Yarrowia lipolytica: one gene and its partner. Each later gene encodes a partner of the first gene's protein in a complex. Links are inferred from orthologs where the notes say so. Each region holds a gene or a part of one and is shown in the gene's direction. Other genes may lie near its edges.

What was found.
Region 2: the proteins of YALI1_A18273g (region 1) and YALI1_E16164g are in contact, whole or in part, in a cryo-EM structure (PDB 6N3Q), measured with the Saccharomyces cerevisiae proteins. The link is inferred for Yarrowia lipolytica from reciprocal best matches to the Saccharomyces cerevisiae genes SEC63 and SEC66. Residues at the interface, in NP_014897.1 of Saccharomyces cerevisiae: Gln247, Thr250, Lys251, Lys252, Asn256, Ala259, Ser260, Val263, Val267, Asn268, Tyr269, Lys270, Pro271, Ser272, Glu273, Ile274, Thr276, Ile339, Gly342, Phe343, Arg344, Leu365, Pro367, Thr528; in NP_009730.3 of Saccharomyces cerevisiae: Asn69, Lys109, Leu113, Gln116, Ile117, Leu120, Asn123, Gly124, Ser125, Ile126, Gly127, Glu128, Asp129, Tyr130, Arg133, Arg178, Arg179, Ser182, Arg186, Val189, Glu193, Trp194.

What each region holds. Positions count from the first base shown.
Region 1 is NC_090770.1:1,824,553-1,828,867, reverse strand, and holds YALI1_A18273g (uncharacterized protein), read left to right. Parts: upstream 1-1,572; coding exon 1,573-3,717; downstream 3,718-4,315. Other genes in the region: YALI1_A18286g (uncharacterized protein), read right to left, coding at 1-276. UniProt on the Saccharomyces cerevisiae protein: Acts as a component of the Sec62/63 complex which is involved in SRP-independent post-translational translocation across the endoplasmic reticulum (ER) and functions together with the Sec61 complex and KAR2 in a channel-forming translocon complex.
Region 2 is NC_090774.1:1,615,349-1,618,146, reverse strand, and holds YALI1_E16164g (uncharacterized protein), read left to right. Parts: upstream 1-1,693; coding exon 1,694-2,236; downstream 2,237-2,798. Other genes in the region: YALI1_E16174g (uncharacterized protein), read right to left, coding at 1-757; YALI1_E16121g (uncharacterized protein), read right to left, coding at 2,637-2,798. UniProt on the Saccharomyces cerevisiae protein: Acts as a component of the Sec62/63 complex which is involved in SRP-independent post-translational translocation across the endoplasmic reticulum (ER) and functions together with the Sec61 complex and KAR2 in a channel-forming translocon complex.

The sequences.
Region 1 (4,315 bases):
CACGTCGCCATCCACGTACGGGTTCTGCAACCGGAACCCGCCCTTGTCCTGGAGAAACCGTACAAGATCGTCCTTAGGCGCGTTCGTCCACCCTCGGACCTCAATGTCCGTCAGATTGCTGTTGTTGCTGTTGTTGTTGTTGTCGCGGCCGCCGCTATTGTTGTAGCCGCCTCGGCCTCGTCCGCGTCCTCGATAACTCATTGTTTGTGGTGGTACTGGTGAAACGAAAATGAAAATGCACGCCAATTTAAAAAAGTGTAGTTTTTGCTTGTGCATGAGAATCGAGACCTGCGCCAAATGTCCTTGTAGAAGCAGTGGGACGTGTCTAGAGTCAAAAGAGGGATAATAATTCAGCTATTTGACGCTTGAATATCAAGGGTATCAATTTTCACGCCCAAAAACAAACATTTCCCCAAGTAAAAGATCAGTTTCAGTTTCAGTCTCCACTAGATTTAAACTCGTAGTTGAAATATTGTCAGGGTTAACCAGAAAAAGAAAAATAAATAAAAATAAATAAAAAGAAAAACAAAAAAGTCGAGAGAGAAAAAAGCGAGAAAAAAGCGAGAAAAAAGCGAGAAAAAAGCGTGAAAAAAGAAAAGAATGCAAGTTGAAATATGGCTGATAACGCGACGAGCTGATAAATGTCCTGCTCTGAATTAATTGAAGAGAATACCAAATGGGTGGTATAACTCGAAGACTTCATTATATAGCCATACGTCAACCATAGTAAATGTAAATACAGTACAAACCTACATACAGTTGTAGGGTTCACACTGTACTATACACCCACTATCAAGACTGGACAAACTCCGTCAAAGTTGATCCGGTTCCAATAAAAAACTCATAAGGAGAATAAGTTGGCCATTTCAAACAATAAGATACCATATAACCCTGGAAAAGTTCGCTCTCCAGGTCTCCATCACTCTCCCTATACACACTCACATACTCGTACTAATCCAAATTCAAACCTCCTCGGAAAAGTCAATCAATCACGCTGGAAAAACACCTTATGAGATGTGATTCCTACGTCAAAAACACAGGTTAGGACTGTTTCGTCGTATTCCATCCCCGCTGCATGACTCGCAAATTCGTCCTGCTCTCGTCTTTTCTTCAGACAGCAAAAACTTGCCCATCTACAAGTACAGTACAGTACAGTACAGTACATACATACATACGCGCGCGCCGCCATTGCAAGCAGGATGAAGAAGAGGAGGACGAGGAGGACGGAACGGCGTGGAGATGTGGGGCACCTGGTCTACAAGTGCGGCCGTAATGTGTTATACATTTGGTCACACGACTTCCCAGACCCGGTCATGTCACAATTGATTCTCAGGAACTCGTGTTTTCGCCTTCTGTCCCCAGCTCCATGTCCATCTGAGCTACAATGAATAATAAACTGAACTATATAAATTCACACTTTTTTATATTTTATATTTTTATTCCACCCTGTTCTTGATCTACAATGCAACCCTTACCCTTGAAAAGTAGTGTGCGATTGACCACAGTATAAGGGGGAAGGAGGGAGCCTCAGAAACAAACAGTCACGTGAAATCAAGTCACGTGACAATACACATGACCAAAAAAACAACAACACCGCCTATTCCCATAAAATTACTCCAGTCTGTTCGCCATTTCTACTCCTCCTCCACCTACTGTATCTACTTTGCCAAACCTTACTTTAACTACACGTCACACTCCCAACCACAGTTGTCATCTACAGACTGTACATCACACATCTTTGGTTCTTTCCACAACACAGACTCAAAAATGCCTTCGTACTCTTATGACGAAGAGTCGGACGTGTGGCCATACTTTGCGGTCACGTTGGGCTCACTGGTGCTAGTCCCCTGGACTCTCAGTGCCGTCTATCCGGTTCTGTGTCCCCCCAAGACCCAGGCGACTCTTCCCGAGGGCGTGACACCATTCCGTCCCCCCCATGCGGCGGACATTGACTCGTTCCAGAGCAAGCAACGGCGCGGAAAGCTGCTGTCCAAGCGCAACGTGGCTCTGGTTGCGGGGTGGGCGGCTCTGATTGGAGCGCTGGTGTTCATTTCACAACAGGAGGTCAAGGTCAAGGCCGACACGTTTGATCCGTACGAGATTCTGGGCGTGTCCTTCTCGGCCACAGAGAAGCAAATCAAGAGCCACTACAAAAAGCTGTCGGTCAAGCTGCATCCCGACAAGATCAAGCTGGTGGCTAACCAGACCATGGAGCAGGTGGAGGACGCGTGGGTCCAGATCACAAAGGCCTACAAGGCGCTGACAGACGAAGTCACCCGAAACAACTTTCTGGAGTTTGGCCATCCTGACGGCCCCCAGCAGACCGACCACGGTATTGCTCTGCCCAAGTGGCTCGTGGAGGGCCAGGGCTCTCCCTTGCTCATTGGTGTCTACGCCATTGTCGTGGGAGTCATCCTCCCCTACACCATTGGCAAGTGGTGGACCGGAGTCAAGTCCTACACTCGTCGTGGAATCCACAACAAGACCGCAGCCCGGTTCTTCTCCATCATGGCCAAGGAGCAGCCAGACTACATCACTCACAAGCGAATCCTGGAGGCCGTGTCCGAGGCCGAGGAGTACCGAATCAACTTCCCCGAGCTCACCAGCAAGCAGGTCTACGAGCTTCTAGACGACTACCTCCACAGAAAGGCTTCTTCCAAGCCCGCCGCTATGCTGGGCGTGGCTGCTTTGGCCCCCAAGCTGCTGGATGGCTTTGCCGACATTGCCATCGAGTTCAAGCCTCTGGAGGTGGTTCAGCGAATTATTGAGGTTCAGCGAGCCATGGTTCAGGCCGTTTCTCTCGACCATCTTCCTCTTGGAGAGATGCTGCAGCTCCCTCACGTGGACTACGAGCAGGTGACCAAGAATGCCAAGGGCTACGGTACCGGCTCCATCCTGGGCTTCAAGGATGCCCAATTCAAGGAGATTCTGGGCGTCGACAAATCTGATATTACATCGGTCAAGAACACCGCCAACGCTGTGCCCAAGATTGATATTGTGGATGCCTACTTCAAGGTGCCTGGTGAAGACGTGGTGACCCCCCAGTCTGCTGCCCATCTTGTTCTACGAATCCGGGTGCGGCCATTTGGCACCAAGCGACCTCTCAACATTGATACCGCCAAGCTCAAGCATGATCTGCATCTCGACGAGCCTATCGAGGTGCTCAAGGAGCCCACAATCACCAACAGCAACGCTCCTCTGCTGCCTCACACCTACGCACCCTACTTCCCTGCTCTCCATCAGGGCAAGTGGGTTGTGTTTATCACCTCTGACAAGGACAACAAGATTGTCGAGGGTCCCGGCGAGATCACCCGGCTCGACGTATCCAACCTGAGCAATCTCAAGCCTGGCAAGGACGTGGAGGATGGCGTTATCGGCTCCTTCAAGATCCAGCTCAAGAACCCCACTCCCATGTTCCCCGGCAAGTTTTCGTACAAGGTTAACGTGCTCAACACGGCTTACTTTGGCGTCGATGCTGTGGAGAAGCTGAACGTGGAGGTCAAGAACCCGGAGATTCCCGCTGATGACGACGACGAGGACGACATTTCCGAGCCTGAGGAGGACTCCATTGCTGGCGCTCTGGCTTCTGCCCGGGGCCAGAGCACCAAGAAGGCCGCCGTAGTGGACGACGATGAGGAGGACTCCGAGGAGGAGGAGGATCTGTCGGATATCGACACCGACACCGAGGACGAGGCTGAGGATCCCAAGAAGAAGTAATTAGAGGAGGAGAAGATGGTAAAAGCAATATAGTGCAATGTATGTTTAGAGGTAGAGAAGGGTGGAAGAGGGTGGATGAAGAGGGTGTAGATCCAGTACATCAAGTGATGTGATATAGCAGTGCCTCATGTAATGCGGAGTGCCACTAGGTGCAACTGAGGTCTGGAAAGATACTTCTATAGTACATCCATACAGTGTACTTACTAATAGCAAACCGCCTTTGGAGTTACTACACGACTCGGTATTCCATTGATTTGTACTTCAAGGAGATTGGTTGATTCAGTGCGTGTCTCGGAATACGCTCACCATTTCTTCTTTCTTCACGGACAACTCGAAGCCTTCCTCATGTCTCCTTTTTCTCCACAAAAATTAATGTATTTCGCGTTTCGTGTTGGAAAAAAAAAAGTCAAAACGACGCGTCGTATGATTACAAGTCCGACTCCTGCTTATCTCCACCACCATCACCAGCCACTGGGCGAGTGATGAAGTCCCTGAGTCACTCGACTCGTCAGCAGGAGCAGCTTTGAAGTACCCGAGTGATTACTAACATAACGGCCAACATGCGTCCAGTAGTTTTGATGTTTGAAACTTGTGCGTC
Region 2 (2,798 bases), on another chromosome or scaffold:
ACTCTGCAAACTCCACATGATCAACCATTCGAAAAGGCTGTGATTGCAGAGTAATAGCCGAGGGCTGGCATCGGGAACAGATTCCTTCGGGCCAGGGAGCATGGGCTCCTGTACAGCTCTTGGACACTCCGAAATCCGACACATTCAGGGGGGCAATGTATCCGCCTCCATTCTTCTTGTTCGCCTGCGAATTGAGCTTTTTGACGTAGGCATGGTAGCTCATATGCTTAATCTTCTGCTCCTTGAGATACTCCTCGTCCCAGGGGTCGACTGGAAGAGTGTCTTCGCCCATACCTCTGGATCCAAACTTTCGCTGCTGGAGTGCTGATAGCTGTCGCTTGATCTTTCCATCTTGTTTCTCGAGATAGTCATCGACAGGCAATTGTTTGGTGGCGTCTCGAATGTGTGCCGCGGTCATTTGGGGAGCGGTTTCGGCCGTCACAGCCTCCACAGCAGCTCGTGGGGCCGAGTCTGTGTAGCTGACAAACAGCATATCACCATGATTAAGCCCCAGCTTCTGGACGGTTTTACCCAGAAGACGAGAGGCCGGTTCCTGCTTGCCTGTGGGTGACGTGGCAAGGGTGATTGTGGCGGGATCGATGTCTGGCAGGTCTTCAGTGAGCTTCTTGAACGCCACATCGAAGAGATCTGTGGGCTGGGCCTCCGCTCGAAGAGTGCCCTTTTTGGACCGGAATCGCAGGATCTGAGTTAGTCTGGGCACAATTCCACAGCTGTTTGTGTCTGCAGTACTCACCATTCTCGAAAGTAGTGGTTGATAGAGATGATGTTGAGATGGAGCTTCCTGTTGCCACTGGGACAAGCATATCCGAGTGAGGATTTAGAGTTTGTTAAAGATATTTGGCTCTACTTGGAGAATCAATAAAATAAAAAACAAAACAGTATATATAAAAAAAGTAGCTGGATGGCGACAGACAGTGTGACGTCTGTAGTATCGTACCAAGAGGTCAAGATATTGCCTCAATATGTATTACAGTGGTGAAGGAGAGTATTTCGGGTCTTTAAACATTCGGAAACGCCGTTTGAAGGTGTCCTAGTTTGGGGCTGATGATCATGTACAAGTTTCATACAGTATAATTAGCAGCCTAAATGATAATACTACTGTAAGCGCGGGCATAATGGCGGATGGCATGTGTACAGCCAATGAAAAGGATGCTTGAACGGTCGGTTCAGAAATTGGTGGCCACAAACACAAATTCGTGTACTCGTACTCATATTTGTAGCCACAACTAGACTCTAAACACTTCACTCGGCTTACCTAATACCATCCCACATTGGCATGTTCTAATTAAATCTCAAGTATCATTATGTAGCAAAGCCAAGTAACTACATAAACTCTAGAACCTCTTCGACTGTCGTCTAAAACTACCCCAAAATAGCCCAAATCTGGTTCTGGAAAAAAAGCAACGATATCCTCGGGACGCGTATACAACCATTAAAAAACAATTGCAACCAAAAAAACATCCACGTGACCACACTCTGTCGTCCTCTCCAGCCTCGTCTATGCAACGCGCGTAGCTGATTATACTACACCTTCTTTCTCCAGTGCAAATAGAGTTATTCATAGGTGGCCGAAGCGAAGAGAGTCTAACAAGAACGAGACACACGTAACGTTACCTCTGTTAACACCACACACACACACACACACACACAACAGACCGACAAAAGACCGACAATGGAAAGCAGCAGCGGCGTTTCCATCTACACGCCCTTCATCTACTTTGCCGTGCTTGTGACGGCGCTGGCCGTGTTTGGCAAGATCTACCGATCCCGGCAGGCGGTCAACCTGGCAGGAGTCGAACCGTGGTACCCCGATCACATTCCCCGAGACATCTACTTCACTCTGCGGGACCACACGTCGCCCCGTCCATCCGAAAAGGTGCTCAAGGCCGCTCTTCTACGACGGTCGGCGGAAAACATCAAGCGAATCATCAAAACCAAGGAGGCCAAGCCCCATCTGACTGCTCTTCACGAGGCGGGATCCATTGGAGATGATCTGCTGCATCAGTTCACCGCGTGGGAGAAGATGATCGAAATGGAGCTCAACGACTGTGCCGCTGAGGCCAACACATACGCCGAAAACTGGGCCCAAACCATGTTTGCTACTGCGTCGGAGATCATCCAGAACGAGGGTCTGCGAAGACGAGTCAACGAGCTCAACGAGAAGGAGAAGGCCTTTGATGCCGACCTGGTCCAGGCCAAGGTCATTGTCGCTTAGATCAATATAGAAATGGAGGTATGATATGGATCCAGTGAAGCGATAAAGTGGGTGTAGAAGAAGACTGGCACTAACTGCGAACCAATGTGATAGCAACGGGTCTTTGTAACGAATGTCAGACCCTACTACTTGTTAATGAAGCGATGATCATTTGTATTATCTTTAGACAGATTGCACATTGGGTTATGGCGATGGCTCGCAGGACAAGAAGTACTTAGACCCATCGAAGGGCCAGGAGTTTTCTCAGAAAGCGTCCGTGCTTTCCGTACGGTTTGTGTTGGTACTTGTAGTCTTTTGTATGAGCTATACGGTGTCTGTACCTCTCATCGTACAATAATTGCCCATTACTTATACATATATACATGTCCTCCGAGGAAGCCCTAAGGAGCCCTAAAGAGCCCTAAGGAGCCCGCTTCTTCTTGCCAACCACCTTGAAGGCGGTGTTCCATCCATCATCCTGAGGAGCAACCTCGGCATGCTGAATCACCTCGCTCCATTTGACAGCAGAGTCACCATCAGCAATCTTTCTTCGCTTGAGGAACTCGGCAGCAAACCGTCGACC